Linked DNA regions of Arabidopsis thaliana. The protein of the gene in region 2 purifies or fractionates together with the protein of the main gene of each other region. This does not show direct contact. Each region holds a gene or a part of one and is shown on either strand. Other genes may lie near its edges.

Evidence for each region. Proteins that work in one complex are often made in the same cells at the same time.
Region 1: the proteins of NRPB2 (region 2) and CPL4 purify together in Arabidopsis thaliana (affinity purification with western blotting; one study listed by BioGRID). This does not show direct contact.

What each region holds. Positions count from the first base shown.
Region 1 is NC_003076.8:23,476,680-23,482,636, forward strand, and holds CPL4 (C-terminal domain phosphatase-like 4), read left to right. Parts: upstream 1-3,101; 5' UTR 3,102-3,232; intron 3,233-3,386; coding exon 3,387-3,532; intron 3,533-3,641; coding exon 3,642-3,673; exon of another isoform or gene 3,674-3,747; coding exon of another isoform or gene 3,748-3,757; coding exon 3,758-3,870; intron 3,871-3,948; coding exon 3,949-4,129; intron 4,130-4,227; coding exon 4,228-4,526; intron 4,527-4,614; coding exon 4,615-4,800; intron 4,801-4,879; coding exon 4,880-5,245; 3' UTR 5,246-5,457; downstream 5,458-5,957. Other genes in the region: AT5G58000 (Reticulon family protein), read left to right, coding at 419-1,367, 1,461-1,520, 1,620-1,722, 1,811-1,885, 1,973-2,120, 2,203-2,272, 2,359-2,424, 2,507-2,817; AT5G58005 (Cytochrome c oxidase, subunit Vib family protein), read left to right, coding at 5,555-5,638, 5,727-5,864, 5,950-5,957. UniProt on the Arabidopsis thaliana protein: Processively dephosphorylates 'Ser-2' and/or 'Ser-5' of the heptad repeats YSPTSPS in the C-terminal domain of the largest RNA polymerase II subunit (RPB1). This promotes the activity of RNA polymerase II. Required for normal plant growth.
Region 2 is NC_003075.7:11,535,411-11,545,688, reverse strand, and holds the start of NRPB2 (DNA-directed RNA polymerase family protein), read left to right. Parts: upstream 1-3,283; 5' UTR 3,284-3,488; coding exon 3,489-3,737; intron 3,738-4,513; coding exon 4,514-4,735; intron 4,736-4,837; coding exon 4,838-5,128; intron 5,129-5,238; coding exon 5,239-5,436; intron 5,437-5,527; coding exon 5,528-5,592; intron 5,593-5,695; coding exon 5,696-5,782; intron 5,783-5,859; coding exon 5,860-5,980; intron 5,981-6,075; coding exon 6,076-6,120; intron 6,121-6,212; coding exon 6,213-6,350; intron 6,351-6,483; coding exon 6,484-6,556; intron 6,557-6,721; coding exon 6,722-6,798; intron 6,799-6,876; coding exon 6,877-6,984; intron 6,985-7,070; coding exon 7,071-7,187; intron 7,188-7,279; coding exon 7,280-7,435; intron 7,436-7,516; coding exon 7,517-7,621; intron 7,622-7,704; coding exon 7,705-7,830; intron 7,831-7,923; coding exon 7,924-8,001; intron 8,002-8,094; coding exon 8,095-8,190; intron 8,191-8,279; coding exon 8,280-8,395; intron 8,396-8,470; and 12 more. Other genes in the region: AT4G21720 (defensin-like protein), read right to left, coding at 1,415-1,561, 1,659-1,697, 1,790-1,893, 2,103-2,156, 3,053-3,128. UniProt on the Arabidopsis thaliana protein: DNA-dependent RNA polymerase catalyzes the transcription of DNA into RNA using the four ribonucleoside triphosphates as substrates. Second largest component of RNA polymerase II which synthesizes mRNA precursors and many functional non-coding RNAs.

The sequences.
Region 1 (5,957 bases), on a different chromosome or scaffold from region 2:
ATTTCATAAAGTAAAAAACAAGAAGTAATCAAAATTAATTAACTTCAAATAAAAAAAGAAAAGTAAAAAAGTAGAGAGATTGTGATCATAAACCTTGATGATTATGTTTAAGTAAGCATCTTTGCAGTGCAACCACATGCAAAGGCTTTAGGTTAATTTTAAAAGCAGTAGCCAATTATCCAATTTGGTGATCTATAGCTAGTCTCAATCTTCATGAGACAAACATAGGTCCCCCTCCTCTGTCTGATCTAACAACCCAACTCCAAATTCTGCTTTATCAGAAATTATATGAAATCAATTACCTTTTGGTGCCCAACAACCTCCATTTTCCTTCAGCTTCAAGGCTCATCATCATTACTACTTTCAAATTCACAGCTCGATTACTAGTACGACATAGACATAGACATAAAGACAGAGAATGGACCCAAGTAGTATCAACAGCAGCAGAAGAAAGAGAATTGGAGGAGCCGTTGTTGCTGCAGGTTCTGTTTGGGAAACGAGAATGCAGAGCGATGATGAAGTTTGTAATAACGCCATTGTTCTTCATGTTACAAACGAAGACAAGACTTCTTCTACTAAGCAAATGACTTTAAAGGATGAAACTTTATTAGGTGTTAATGGAAAGAGACGGACTTGGAAGTCTAGAGCGTCCGATGTGAAGAACCCATCAACGCTTGAGATTGTTCGAGCCAATTCTCTGAAGGTGACGAAGCCGAGATCAATTGGTACTCCTCCGATGACGCCGAGGAGATCGTTGTCTAGTAGTGATTCTAATGATAAGAGTCCGAGTGTGTCGGTGGTGGCGAAGAAGGCAAGATCTGAATCTGTAGAGGGGATTGAGAAGAAGACTACTCCGGGTCGAGTTAAGAAGATCCGATCGGAGGTCTGCACGACGATCGTTAAAGCCGGTGAATTTGATTCAGTTGCGTTGAGGAAAGTGAATTCGTTGCCATCTCCAAATTCTGAGAAATCTGATACGAAAACAGAGCAAGAAGTGACTATCATTGAGAATTCGAAGATCCCAGAAGAAGTCAAGGAGTTTGGTGTTTGTCAGGAGATGATCGTATCTGCTAAATCAAACGAAAATGAGCAGATTGACAATGGCGACCAGGAGATTGGTGATCAAGATGATTATGAAGAAGATGGAGATGAGGAGGAGGAAAGAGAAGTGGAGAAGAAGAGTGTTGATGTGAAGGAGATAAATGTAGCCAAGGAAAACAGAGTTGGTGGTGTTGAGATTAAAAAGTTTAGTCAATTTCAAAACAGAACATCTCCATCTCCGTCGTCCGTTCGTAAAATTTCGCCTCCGGTGATCAAAAGGGCAACTTCTGTTTACTCGGCCCCACCAAATTCTACTTCAAGCACAGGTTGTTTAATCCGAATTTCAGTGCTTTGTTTCATCGACCGCTATTTGCTTACTGAATTCTGATGAATCCTCTGTTTTTCACGACTGTTTCCAGATAGATTTGCAGAGCAAGAAGACAACTTTACTCATTCACAGAGTAAATTGCAGAGTCTGGGTGAGTTTCTTAACAGTTTACTGTGCATAATTCCATCTACAAATTTTTTTACTATGAAAAGTCTAAAGTATGTTAAATAATGAAATGAAATCTGGACAGTGGATCTGGTGATGTGGAGGGATGTATCAAGGTCGACGCTTGTGTTTGGCTTCGGAACATTCCTCATCATCTCTTCTTCCTACGCCAATGATCTCAATTTCAGGTTCTTTAGTTCTTTTCAATTGATCAAGGAGAATCTACACACAAGTTAGTTAAGTAGTATGGAACTAAAATGTGATGAAAATGTACAGCTTCATATCGGTGGTAGCGTACATGGGACTCATCTATCTCGGTCTCATGTTCGTATTAAAATCACTGATCCACAGGTTTGATACATAGACCTATTTCTCTCTCTCTATCTTTGCATGTTGTTTTTGTGATTGGGTTTAATAGGCATGTAATAATGGACGCAGGGGAATGGTGGAGGAGGAGAGACATAAAGTGGTTGGAGTTAGAGAGGAAGATGTCAAGAGGATGCTCAGACTCATAATGCCTTATCTCAACGAGTCTCTGCATCAACTCAGAGCTCTCTTCTCCGGTGATCCATCAACCACTCTCAAGGTAAGTCTTTTTCTTCTCACTTTCTCTCCTTCGTTTCCTCTTTCTCCCTTGACCTTAATAAAGAAGAGATGATGTTTTGCAGATGGGAGTAGTGTTGTTTGTCTTGGCCAGGTGTGGCTCTTCTATCACTCTTTGGAACCTCGCCAAATTTGGTACCTCTAGACTTCAAGATTTCTTGTTTTAAGAAGTGGTGTATGTAGATTTCTGACTTGCGAGTGTTTTGTCCTCGTGAGAACAGGCTTTTTGGGAGCATTTACAATACCTAAAATCTTCATATCATACTCAACACACTTCTCTGCATACGGTAACTAAAAACTCCTTCAATATCTTTCAGTTACATCTTCTATGAAACAGTTTTTAATCAAACAAAGTTGTGTACAATTCAGGAAATTTCTGGATGAGGAGATTCAGGGACGCATGGGAATCTTGCAATCACAAAAAGGCAGTGGCTTTGGCACTTTTCACCTTAGTTTGGAACCTCTCCTCAGTCACTGCCCGTGTTTGGGCAGCATTCATGTTACTCGTCGCCTTCAGATATTATCAACATAAGATGATTTGGACAACTGATCAAGCTGATGATGATGAGGATGACAATGAAGAAGAAGAAGCAGAAGAAGAAAAAGAACAAGTCCCTCCTAAACACAAAAGGGCTCCTCCTCATATGATGATGCCTAATAAACTCAAGAAAATTTCTTAAATATACTAATTGTTTTTCCTCCATATATAAACAACATTTACTATGTAATCTCTTTAGTTTTTAGTTACTTCTCTATACAAAGCTTACAGTTTATAATGTGAATCTGATCTTCTAAGTTCAATTAACTTATGCCAACAATCTAAAACTCACACACTTGAAATATTTATCCATTCTTCTTAAACTTAGTTAGACTTGAACCCAAAAACAAACAATCTTAATTAGGCTTCTAACGGGCTTTAAGCGGGCCTTATTACATAAACTATTCAGCTTTCGTGAAATAACAAATCGGACAGAAGTTGAAAGCTTTACTTCTTCACTTTTACGGTTGCTCACCGTCGTGACATCTCCACTCTTTTCCTTTCAAAATCCAAAATCACGATTTGATTTTCTCTCGCCTCCGACGAACAAGTTTAAGGTACCACTCCATGTTTCTCTGCGATTTCAATTCGAACTCCATGTGACCTTTTCTCTGTCTGTGTTTAATTTAGGGTTTACTCAATTCGTGACTTTCATTTGCGTTGAAAAATTTATCTGATTTTGCTTTGTTGTGACTTGTGAGTGGTTTTCAGATGAGCGTAGCAAGTGATTCTCCAGTTCATTCATCAAGTAGTAGTGACGATCTTGCTGCATTCCTTGATGCTGAATTAGACTCTGCATCAGATGCTTCGTCTGGACCCAGCGAAGAAGAAGAAGCTGAGGATGATGTAGAATCTGGGTAAACTCAACTCTCATATGTCATGCATTCTCTCTAATTGAATCTTCGAACTCTCTACTGGTATTTACAGTGTGTATATTTTCTCAAACCATGTTTCTCAATCTTTTAGGTTAAAGAGACAAAAGTTGGAGCATTTAGAGGGTGAAGCTCTCTTTATTGATTCAGTCTTATTTTTCTGTCTTTCGTTTGTTCGATTGTATTGAATTTTGAACCTTATGCTTGCAGAAGCATCCTCAAGCAAAGGCGAATGCGAGCATCCAGGATCATTTGGGAATATGTGCTTTGTATGTGGACAAAAACTGGAAGAAACTGGTGTTTCATTTAGATACATACACAAGGTATCGATTTCAGAATAGCTTCTCTTAAATCAAATCTTAGTTTTTATTTAATGAGCTTTGGGAAATCTGTTTTCTTAGGAAATGAGGCTCAATGAAGATGAAATCTCCCGGTTGCGTGATTCAGATTCGAGATTCTTGCAACGCCAGCGGAAGTTGTATTTAGTTCTCGATCTAGACCACACACTGCTAAATACAACCATACTGAGGGACCTAAAACCAGAGGAGGAATACTTGAAAAGTCATACTCATTCTCTTCAAGGTGATACATTCAGCTACATTGTTTTGCTTCTTTTTCAAATGTGATCTTTGTGCATGGAACTTCAGTCTAGTATTTGTCTTTTTTTTTGTTCCATCTAGATGGTTGCAATGTTTCCGGAGGCAGTCTTTTCCTACTGGAATTTATGCAAATGATGACCAAACTGAGGCCGTTTGTTCACTCATTTCTAAAAGAAGCTAGTGAGATGTTTGTGATGTACATATACACAATGGGAGATAGGAATTATGCACGACAGATGGCCAAGCTGCTGGACCCCAAAGGAGAGTACTTTGGTGATCGGGTCATTTCTCGGGATGACGGCACAGTGAGACATGAAAAGAGTCTAGATGTGGTGCTTGGACAAGAAAGTGCTGTTCTGATTCTTGACGATACAGAGAATGTAAGTATGATTTGTAATTTGTCAATGTTTCATGTAACTTTTAATCATGATATTGAGTTGTGCTGATGATACTTGGTTTGATGCTCAGGCGTGGCCAAAGCACAAGGACAATTTGATTGTGATAGAGAGATATCACTTTTTTTCTTCGAGCTGCAGGCAGTTTGATCACAGATACAAGTCTCTATCGGAGTTGAAGAGTGATGAGAGTGAACCAGATGGGGCACTTGCAACTGTCCTGAAAGTCCTAAAACAAGCGCATGCTCTATTCTTTGAGGTATGCACTCACTGGATCTAAATAAAACTTATCTCTTGTCTTGTTGGAGTTTGTTGATTATATTATTCGTTTGTTTCAGAATGTGGATGAAGGCATATCAAACAGAGATGTTAGGTTAATGCTGAAACAAGTGCGTAAAGAGATACTTAAAGGATGTAAAATAGTGTTCAGTCGGGTGTTCCCAACCAAGGCAAAGCCAGAAGATCACCCCCTGTGGAAAATGGCTGAGGAACTGGGAGCCACCTGCGCAACGGAAGTGGATGCATCAGTGACACACGTTGTGGCAATGGATGTGGGAACAGAGAAGGCTCGTTGGGCCGTTAGAGAGAAGAAGTATGTGGTTCATAGAGGATGGATAGATGCAGCTAATTACCTTTGGATGAAACAGCCAGAAGAGAACTTCGGTTTAGAGCAGCTCAAGAAGCAATTGACCGAAGAAGAGTGATTTATGTAACAACAATGAGAAAGAAGAGATAGCTTTTTTTTGTTGGATATTAATTATGAATCTATGTCTAAAGTAAAGTTTTGTAATGTACATTACATTGTATCTCTGATATTTAAACAAGGTACTAATTTTTGGTTGATCTCCTTAATTATTTTGTTTCGTCTATGCTTATTTGCGAAGGTCTGTAATCTACCGACAACTTTTTTGGGCCGGGCCTAAATGGGCCGTATATTTATGTCCCTCATCTACTTTCATTTGTTTTGTTTGGTGTTTGTTTCTGGTTTCTGATTCCGTCTTCTTCGCTTAGACATGGCTCTCGATACTTATGCGTCGTCGAACCCTAATGATGTTCATGAGGATGTTCTTCTTAAAGCTAGAGATGCTTGTTACAAGGTCCGTCTTTCTCTCTTCTCATTTTCGTTGTTGTGATACTGATTTGTGTGATTTAGGTTAAATTGTAAGTGATCATTAATTGGTGCAGGCCAGAGATGCTTTTTACGCTTGTCTAGAAAAGGAATCTGGTAAAAAACCAACTGAAATCGCCACCGTGGGTCTTCTCTATCCTAAGGAGTGTAGCAATTCTAGAACCCAATTCGTCAACAACTGTCGGTCCTCTTGGGTACTCTCTTCTTTCAATTAGTTTTGCAAATTGCAATCTTTATATGATTTGTTTGGGAATTAATGGAAGAAATGAAAAATTGTAGGTGAAACA
Region 2 (10,278 bases):
AATTTTTAAAATAAGTAACCAACTCTTAATCACTAAGAAGTGACTTGATTTTGAAGGAGAAAACATTCCATTTTGTCAGGAACTATCCTCGATTTTTAAGTGATGTAAATACTCTCGTCTAATCAATCTAAGCAAGTTTATACAAATGTATAACACATAATAACCAACATAAAAGTTTCATATAGTTAACAAGTCAAGTGCCAATAATCAAATATCAACTTTGACATCTTCAAAGGATTTTAGTGCAATATATGAATCTTCTCCTTACTACGATGTCATTACATATGAGAGTCTAAGAATAATGAACTGAAACTTCAAATCTCTTGGGTAAATTCCTGAAGACAATCCATGAAATGAGTGATGTCGAGTTTTTCCTTCCTAATGTAAACCGGCTCTTCAGACCTGCCATCTCTTTGAGCTGCCATCTCCATAAGAAGGTATAACTGCTTAATTGGAATCTGAAAAAGATGTGATAAACCCGTGGGACAAAATGTTTAGAAACGACGATAATTAATAAAGAAAAGTGTGAATAAGATCAAAATTGTAAGTGAATAAAAAAAGGATATGAGATTGATAGAACAAAAACTTCTCCGACGTTAGCGAGGAAGAGATCGGCGGTTTCGGGAACGGCGAAACGATGGAGATCAAACGGAGAACAATAGGCGAGGTTTGTTAAAGCTAAATCTGACGCCGGTGTGGTCTTCACTGTCATCTTCATGACAAAAGAATAGGAAGAATCAGCCATGATTGTTTTTTGGTTTCCTTCGTTACAAAGATTATTGGTTTATTTGTGGAGTAAGCTAGAATTGTATATATTTATAGTAAGTCTACTACAAAATATTCCCGACAATTGAAAAAGGGAAATAAGTCATCTGACAAATAGTATAACGACACGTACACAAATGTTATGGCAAGTAAAATCGTGAAATTGAAAACTTTCTTTACTTAAATACGGTTTTCCCGGGTAATAAGTAATTTACTACTAATTAGTTACAACGGTCAAGGATGTTTGTGAAAACTTTCTCCTCATTCTCTGATTGGCTAGACTCTTTGTCACTCTTTCTTATTTGGAAATTTTGTGCCGTTCAAATATTATTGGATCTAATGAAAGGAAATTCTACATTTGTTTTTCTTTTGATAAGAATGAAAATTCTACATATTAAGAAAACAAAAAATTCAATGGAATTTAGGAACTTGAGCTTTTTGGATGCTCTAACTTTCATCACGGGACGAGTCCCACTAATATCTACTCTCCAATCTCTATTGCAAAAACTATCAAAAGAAAAAGAAAAAAAAAAGTTTATGGACCAATCCTTTGAGTTGGCTACTCTGAAAAGTAATACTCCCTCATATGTTTAGATACCAAAAAATTGAGGAGTTCCAAGTGTTAGCCTTTGATGGGGGTTGAGATACGTCAAGCGGAAGTTGCAAGAACATCCTCAGTAGGAGGCTGCATTGGTTTTTGAGAACGTGGTGGTGGTGGTGGTGGTTGTGGCTTTGGCGGTGGTGGTGGAGGTCTCTTTGGTTTCACCTTATTGACTATCTCAGCTTCAACATCAAACTGCATGATGACAAAAAAATACAGCCACACGGGTTCAGAGAAGTAGAGTGTATTTCCAAACGCATCAAATTATTGAGGTTGAAGCAAGGAAACAAACCTTGTAACCACAGCCTGCTACACATGCGTGAAAGCATTCCTGAATTTAAAAACAGAGTTACATGTACAACAATTAGATACGGTTCAGTCCATTTCTCTTTTTTGAAGAAAAAGATTCATTGTGTGAATTACCTCAGAGTATTTGGCATCTCCAGGAGAACGATCTATAACAGCAGTCCATGGTCTGTCTTTTAGCACAGGATCTTTGTAGCAAATTTCACTGCAGTCTCCTACACCTATAGAGAGTACACTACTATTACACCAATTCATTAACTTGGAAACTTAAACCTGAAAAGCAGAAGATACTCTTCATGAACATGTAATTTCGTTATGTAGGAGACAAGCTTGGTTTTTATGATGTTCCATAGTGAGGACAAATCTAACCGCTCATCATTTCATCAACAGTTTCGTTACAGATTACAAAGAATTAAAAAGAAATGCTTACAATCTTCCCATGAGTCACTATCGGCATCACATCCCTTTTTGCAGAATACTCTCCCTACACAGATTCAGGAATTACATTAGTGCTATGGAAAAAATGTCATACAACAACATGGAGGATAAACACTGATGCTAAAGCTGAAAAAAAACCCAGATTGCTATGGAAAAAATGTCATACCAAGCATAAGTTCAGCTAGCTTTTGTGCCCATGAATGAAATTCAGAGATCAGAGAATGAAAAGCTTTCATCAGAAAGACAGAAACAGCCAAACCAAGCCCTTTAACTAGCTTAAGCATACATATATGTCAATAGTTCATAGAAGCAACATGGATACAGAAGCATCTTTGATACCGTTACTTTGACTCTCTCCCTTTAAATTTCTTTCAGTTCATAAACTACAACTTATTATCTTCCACTTTCTCCTACTAATTTAACCATTTTCTTAATTACATGATAGAAAAGCTCTAAGAACTCTGCATAATCTCCCTTACTTGTAATCAATATAAATGTTGCCGATTCTTCAATCTACATTATTCAATTACGAGTCAAGATGGATGTTCTTAAATACTTGCAACTACAACTATAAGTTGTCTCTGGACCAATCTAACCAAAGAAGCGATTCTTGACCAAAATGTTTAGTATAATCGTAATGAAGTAGAGTGCACCAACAAATAATTAGGGTTTATGAATCAAGAAATCAATCAACAATCCAATTTACAGATCCCAATTTCAATTCCAAACAACAACAAAAAGAAGAAACACTCGGAAGACTAAATTGACTTTTGAATCAAGAAATCAATCACCAATCCAAATCAGAACCCAATCTATCAGCTCCAACAACAGATTCTTATCATCATCATCGAAAACTAAACCATCAAAAAACAACGGACCACGAACATCAAAACTCAAAAACGAATCCGATTCACACAAATTAAGAGTCCAGATATTACATACATGGAAGCTGCGTAAATGCTGAGTACTTATTCGTGCATTTGCTCCCACACGGCGGCGTCCATTGCTGCGGTATCATCTCTCTCTCCCTTCCTCCGCCTTCACTCTCCGTCTCTCTCTCTCTTCTTCCGAAAATATCGCTGACGCCACAAAAATGTAGCCGGAGACTTTTCTTTATATAGTAAGGGTGTTTCCGTCATTTAACAATCCAAGCTCTCTAACAACCAAACCGATCCTTTTTATAATCCCATTTAATCAAACCGGTTATTGATACAAACCGGTTATTTCCATAAACTTAAGCCGACTTCTCTCTCTCGAGCCTTTATAAACTCACAATCTCACAAAGCCGTCTCATTCTCTGCGTCCTGTCTCTCTCTTTGTCTCCGAGAGCTCGAGTAGTGAAGTTTGCTGTGCTCTAATCTTCAGAGAGTGAGAATAAATGGAGTACAACGAATACGAACCTGAACCTCAATATGTAGAAGACGATGACGATGAGGAGATTACCCAGGAGGACGCGTGGGCTGTTATATCTGCTTATTTCGAAGAGAAAGGTCTCGTTCGTCAACAGCTGGATTCGTTTGATGAGTTTATTCAAAATACTATGCAAGAAATCGTTGATGAGTCTGCTGATATCGAGATCCGACCTGAATCTCAGCATAATCCTGGCCATCAGTCCGATTTTGCGGAGGTTGTTTCCTCGTTTTTGTTTTTTTCTAGGGTTTCTATGGGAATTCGAAATTATGTGCGGGTTTATCGTGTTTGTGGCGGTTTTAAAGTGTTTCGATTTGAGCTTCTACCGTTTGGGTGCGATTAGGGTTTACCTGAATCTTATTGATGTCCCGAGATTGTCTTGTTATTCAATGCTTGAGCTATATGCTGTTCAAGAGTCAAAAAATGATTTTGACTATTGATGTCCGGATATTGACTTTGAGCTGGTAATCTTATTAATGTCCCGAGATTATCTTTGAGTTAATGCTTGAGCTCATCTCTTTCGAGGAGGATTTATAGTATTGGTTGAAACTCAAATCAGTTTTGGCACTATAAAAATGAGTTTGGTATCTTTTTTTGCTGTCCCTTTGGTCTGTTTTCCTGCAGACAGTCTATTGTTAGCCCTTATCTGAGAAGCTTATCTCAATGATTTCCCATGATTATCTTTGTATTCGATGCTTGAGCTCTTCGCTTTTTTGAGGTGTATTTTCAGTGGTTTTGAATATTGGTTAAAGCTTAAATCAGTTTTTAAGTTTTGTTGCAATTAGGGTCTGCCTTTGTCGAGTAGCTAAGCTCATTGATTTTCCGAGATTATCTTTCCATTTAATGCTTGAGCTCTTCGCTTTTTTCAAAGTGTCCTTTCAGTGGTCTTTATTATCGGTTGAAGCTCAAATCATTTTTGACTTTGTGTGAGCTGAGATATAGCTGTTTTGCTATCTGTTTTTCTGTATGTCTGATATAGCTGTTTTCCTGCAGACAATCTACAAGATTAGCTTTGGACAGATTTATCTGAGTAAACCTATGATGACAGAGTCTGATGGAGAGACTGCCACCCTGTTCCCTAAGGCTGCAAGGTTGAGAAATCTCACATACTCTGCGCCTTTGTATGTCGATGTTACTAAGAGAGTTATTAAGAAAGGGCATGATGGTGAAGAAGTTACGGAGACACAGGATTTTACTAAAGTTTTCATTGGAAAGGTGTCCGAACTCAGTTCATTGTGTCACATTTATTTAGGTGTTTCCATGTACTCTACTGTTCTGATAGTAGAAATGTTTTCTTCTTGTTTGATTATTTGCTAGGTTCCCATCATGCTCCGGTCTAGTTACTGTACCTTGTTTCAGAACTCGGAGAAAGACCTGACAGAGCTTGGAGAATGTCCTTATGATCAGGGTGGATACTTCATTATTAATGGCAGTGAAAAGGTTCTGATTGCTCAGGAGAAGATGAGTACGAATCATGTTTATGTGTTCAAGAAAAGGCAGCCAAATAAGTATGCTTATGTTGGTGAAGTCCGTTCTATGGCTGAAAACCAAAATAGGCCTCCAAGCACAATGTTTGTGCGTATGCTTGCTCGTGCTAGTGCAAAAGGGGTAAGAGAAAGCTAATTAGTCTTAACTCTACTATATCCTTCCTCGAAATTTATTCTTTAAATTCTAGATAATGGTAAATAAATTACATTCTATGTTGCAAATGGATGCAGGGTTCATCTGGACAGTATATTCGATGTACTCTTCCATACATCAGAACAGAAATTCCTATTATCATAGTATTTCGTGCACTGGGATTTGTTGCCGATAAGGACATATTGGAACACATCTGCTATGATTTTGCCGATACCCAGATGATGGAGTTGCTCAGGCCTTCCTTGGAAGAAGCTTTCGTTATTCAAAATCAGCTGGTATCCACTTTTTTTTCACTTGGTTAATGACATTTTATTATGCTTGAGGAATTGATCTTGCAATCACTTGATAACTTTCATATTACTTCAGGTTGCACTTGACTATATTGGAAAACGTGGTGCAACTGTTGGTGTAACCAAGGAAAAAAGGATAAAGTATGTGATAATCTAAACCAATTAAGTTGGACATTATGATCTAAGATGTCAACTATTGAGATGTTCACACTGGAGGTTTGCGATTGCAATATTATCATTGCAGGTATGCTAGAGATATCCTTCAGAAAGAAATGCTTCCTCATGTAGGAATTGGGGAGCATTGCGAGACAAAGAAAGCTTACTATTTTGGGTAGGTATTTAACTCACTTGTAATGTTTATAGACTTAACATGTTTCTGTGTTGCTCATATTATGCTATGATCCGTAGGTATATCATACACCGGCTGCTGCTTTGTGCACTTGGCCGAAGGCCAGAAGATGATAGGGATCATTATGGTAACAAAAGGCTGGATCTTGCTGGTCCTTTACTTGGAGGGCTATTTAGAATGGTTTGTTCCCGGCACACAATTATACACTCTTGGGGATTGTTGAGTATCAGTGTTTTTTTTATCTCTTACTGACCTAACATCTTCTCTACATGCAGCTTTTCCGAAAGTTAACAAGGGATGTGAGATCTTATGTTCAAAAGGTATCTTACATAGTTACTCTTTCTCGAGCCAAAGACTTTAGTATTAAGTTGTTATTCTGTGTTTGGAAGTCTGATTCATGTTTCTTTGACAGTGCGTTGACAATGGCAAAGAAGTCAATCTTCAATTTGCCATTAAGGCTAAAACAATTACCTCTGGCCTGAAATATTCTCTTGCTACTGGGAACTGGGGCCAGGCAAACGCTGCTGGCACAAGAGCTGGAGTCTCTCAGGTTAGGATAATTCTATGTTAATTATGTTTTTGAGTTCCAATAATTTCTTGATGTATGTTATCGGGTTTACTGTTTTGGCCTATTATAATTCATTGCATGATTTATATGGCTCTAAAGACTTAACTAACAACAGGTTCTTAACCGGTTGACATATGCTTCGACTTTGTCACATCTGAGGCGTCTCAATTCTCCAATAGGACGTGAAGGTAAAGCCTCGTTCTTTTCCTGCACTTCTATTTTGTCTCTGTGTAACTGTTCGTACAGTTGGTGTATTTTAGTCATGGTTCTCTTTATTATCCACATCCTTGCAATTTAGATTGGCTTGTACTTTTGTTTATCCCACTTGAATCTAATCAAGTCTGATATGCCAGGAAAATTGGCAAAACCAAGACAACTGCACAACTCACAGTGGGGAATGATGTGCCCTGCTGAAACACCTGAAGGACAGGTAAAATTGTTATATTTATAAAATAAGGGTGTTTCGGATTTTATAGTTCCATTGCTCATTGTGGCTTTGCTGTACCAGGCTTGTGGTCTAGTGAAAAACTTGGCTCTCATGGTCTACATAACAGTTGGGTCAGCTGCTTATCCTATATTGGAATTTTTGGAAGAATGGGGTACTGAGAATTTTGAGGTCTGTAGCATTTCACATTCAATTTCTTACCCAACATCTGCCTCCTTGGTTCTTGTGGTTTCCTGAAGGTCTTAACTTGAATATAGGAAATATCTCCATCTGTTATACCCCAAGCCACAAAAATCTTTGTCAATGGAATGTGGGTTGGAGTTCATAGAGATCCTGACATGTTGGTGAAAACGTTGAGACGTTTGAGACGAAGGGTAAGCATGCAGTTTCTTTCACGTTTCCATATATGCTAGTGAAAATATTGCAACTTTATGCAGAAGTGACATATTACTTTTTCCTCTTGCAGGTTGATGTCAACACTGAAGTTGGTGTAGTTAGAGATATCCGTCTTAAAGAGCTCCGGATATACACTGATTATGGACGTTGTAGCCGTCCGTTGTTTATTGTAGATAATCAGAAGCTCTTAATAAAGAAGAGAGATATCTATGCTCTGCAACAAAGGGTAAAATTCTAATTTTTACCTGTTATCAAAGTATCTTTTGTTATAAATTCCATTGTACCAATATTTGTTTTCATAACCCAGGAAAGTGCAGAAGAAGATGGTTGGCATCATCTGGTTGCTAAGGGCTTTATAGAATACATAGACACAGAAGAAGAGGAAACGACCATGATTTCCATGACTATCAGTGTGAGTAATGAAATGAAGATGTGATTAAATGAGTTTGTGGTGCACTAATTTCTGCAGAAATCTTACTCTTATGTTTGTTGTAGGATCTGGTTCAAGCTAGACTCCGCCCAGAAGAGGCTTATACTGAAAACTACACACATTGTGAGATTCACCCATCTCTGATATTGGGGGTCTGTGCTTCAATCATACCATTTCCTGACCATAATCAGGTACCTCTGTCTAAATGACTTTTCTATCAGAAGCGATTTCATTATGTAAATTCAGTTTCATGCTAACTAACCCTTTACTTTTTGATGTATTAGTCACCTCGTAATACATATCAATCTGCCATGGGGAAGCAAGCAATGGGAATTTATGTCACCAACTACCAATTTCGCATGGTATGTTCTAGGCTCTTAATTTGTGGTCTTTCTTGTCAGCTCTTGTTACATCACTCAATATTTTAAAGAAATTATTATTGTTCTGTCAACCAGGATACGTTAGCTTATGTTCTCTATTATCCACAAAAGCCTTTGGTTACTACAAGAGCTATGGAGCATCTTCACTTTAGACAACTTCCAGCAGGAATTGTAAGTTATTTTTGCTAGAAGTTTTTCAGAATTCAGCATTGCTCGTGTATCAAATCTCTCAAATGTTTTTTTTTCTTCTTCTTGTGCAGAATGCTATTGTTGCCATTTCTTGCTATTCTGGATATAATCAAGAAGATTCTGTCATCATGAATCAGTCTTCAATAGATCGTGGTTTCTTTCGATCCTTGTTCTTTCGGTCTTACAGGTGAGTATGCTATACTTTTGGACGTTTGCCTTCGGTCTTTCCATTTATTTATACTGCAATCACGTTTGCTGACAGAGATGAGGAGAAAAAAATGGGGACGCTTGTCAAAGAAGACTTTGGGCGCCCAGACAGAGGAAGTACAATGGTAAGAAAGTAATTGACACATGGTTCATACTTCAGTGGTGCTTTTTGTAAGTGAAGTTTAACACTTGGGTTTCTGCTGCAGGGTATGCGACATGGTTCTTATGATAAACTGGATGATGATGGTCTTGCGCCTCCTGTAAGTTTATAATTTATTGTTCCTTAATTATTTATTATCTGATATGATTAGGTGACTAATGTTAGAAAGCATATCATACAATCTTTTATTTTTGGTATAGGGTACTAGAGTTTCAGGTGAAGATGTTATCATTGGGAAAACCACTCCAATATCTCAAGATGAGGCTCAAGGACAATCATCCCGATACACTAGACGTGATCATAGTATAAGCTTGCGACATAGTGAAACTGGAATGGTGGATCAGGTAACTTTGGCTTTTCCTTGCAGTTAAGGGTTTAGAAAGTTTCAGGATTGAAATATGAAACTGATCAATTCTTGTAACTTCGTGTAGGTGTTATTGACTACAAATGCAGATGGTTTGAGGTTTGTGAAAGTGAGGGTCAGATCCGTGCGGATTCCTCAAATTGGAGACAAATTTAGTAGTAGACACGGTCAGAAGGGAACTGTTGGCATGACCTACACGCAGGAGGATATGCCATGGACGATTGAAGGGGTCACTCCGGACATTATTGTGAATCCACATGCTATTCCGTCTCGAATGACAATTGGACAGCTAATTGAGTGCATCATGGGAAAAGTGGCAGCTCACATGGGAAAAGAAGGAGATGCTACTCCCTTTACAGATGTCACGGTAACTTGCATTTTCCTTAGCTGCTTAGTTAGCATTGGGCTTGGTATTATTAGTTTTGACCAATGTTGTGTCGTTAGGTGGATAATATAAGCAAAGCCCTTCATAAGTGTGGGTACCAAATGCGTGGATTTGAGAGAATGTACAATGGTCACACGGGCAGACCACTCACAGCTATGATATTCCTTGGACCAACATATTACCAAAGATTGAAGCATATGGTTGATGACAAGATTCACTCGCGTGGACGAGGTCCGGTGCAAATCTTAACAAGACAACCAGCTGAAGGGCGATCACGTGATGGTGGTCTCCGTTTTGGAGAAATGGAGCGCGATTGCATGATTGCACATGGTGCTGCTCACTTTTTGAAAGAGAGGCTGTTTGATCAGAGTGATGCGTATAGGGTACATGTGTGTGAAGTCTGCGGGCTCATTGCCATTGCAAATCTGAAGAAGAATTCTTTTGAATGCAGAGGTTGCAAGAACAAAACAGATATTGTTCAGGTAAACATAAACTGTTGTGCAAGTGGTTCATATTCATCTTTATCTCTTTCATGCTCATTTGTCTGATGTCATTTCATCTAAATATTCTCAGGTATACATTCCATATGCTTGCAAATTACTCTTTCAAGAGCTTATGTCAATGGCTATTGCACCAAGGATGCTCACTAAACACCTGAAATCGGCTAAAGGCAGACAGTGAGGAGCTTGCAATCTGATTTTGTAGAAACTTGAACTTTCCTTCTCTCTTGGTCATAGCTTTGTAACAATACTAAATTTACAAATTTGTGTAATATTTCTGTACTAATTCTTAAAGCTAGAAAGGTACCTTATAAGATATATTTATGGATTCTTTAGTAAATTTGCTGCTCCTAATTATTCTCATGGGGCATCCGTATGGGGATTCACTTTGTTTCCTTCTGCTTTCATCATCATTGTGCCTTATCGATGAGCTCAACATTGCGAAATCCATTCA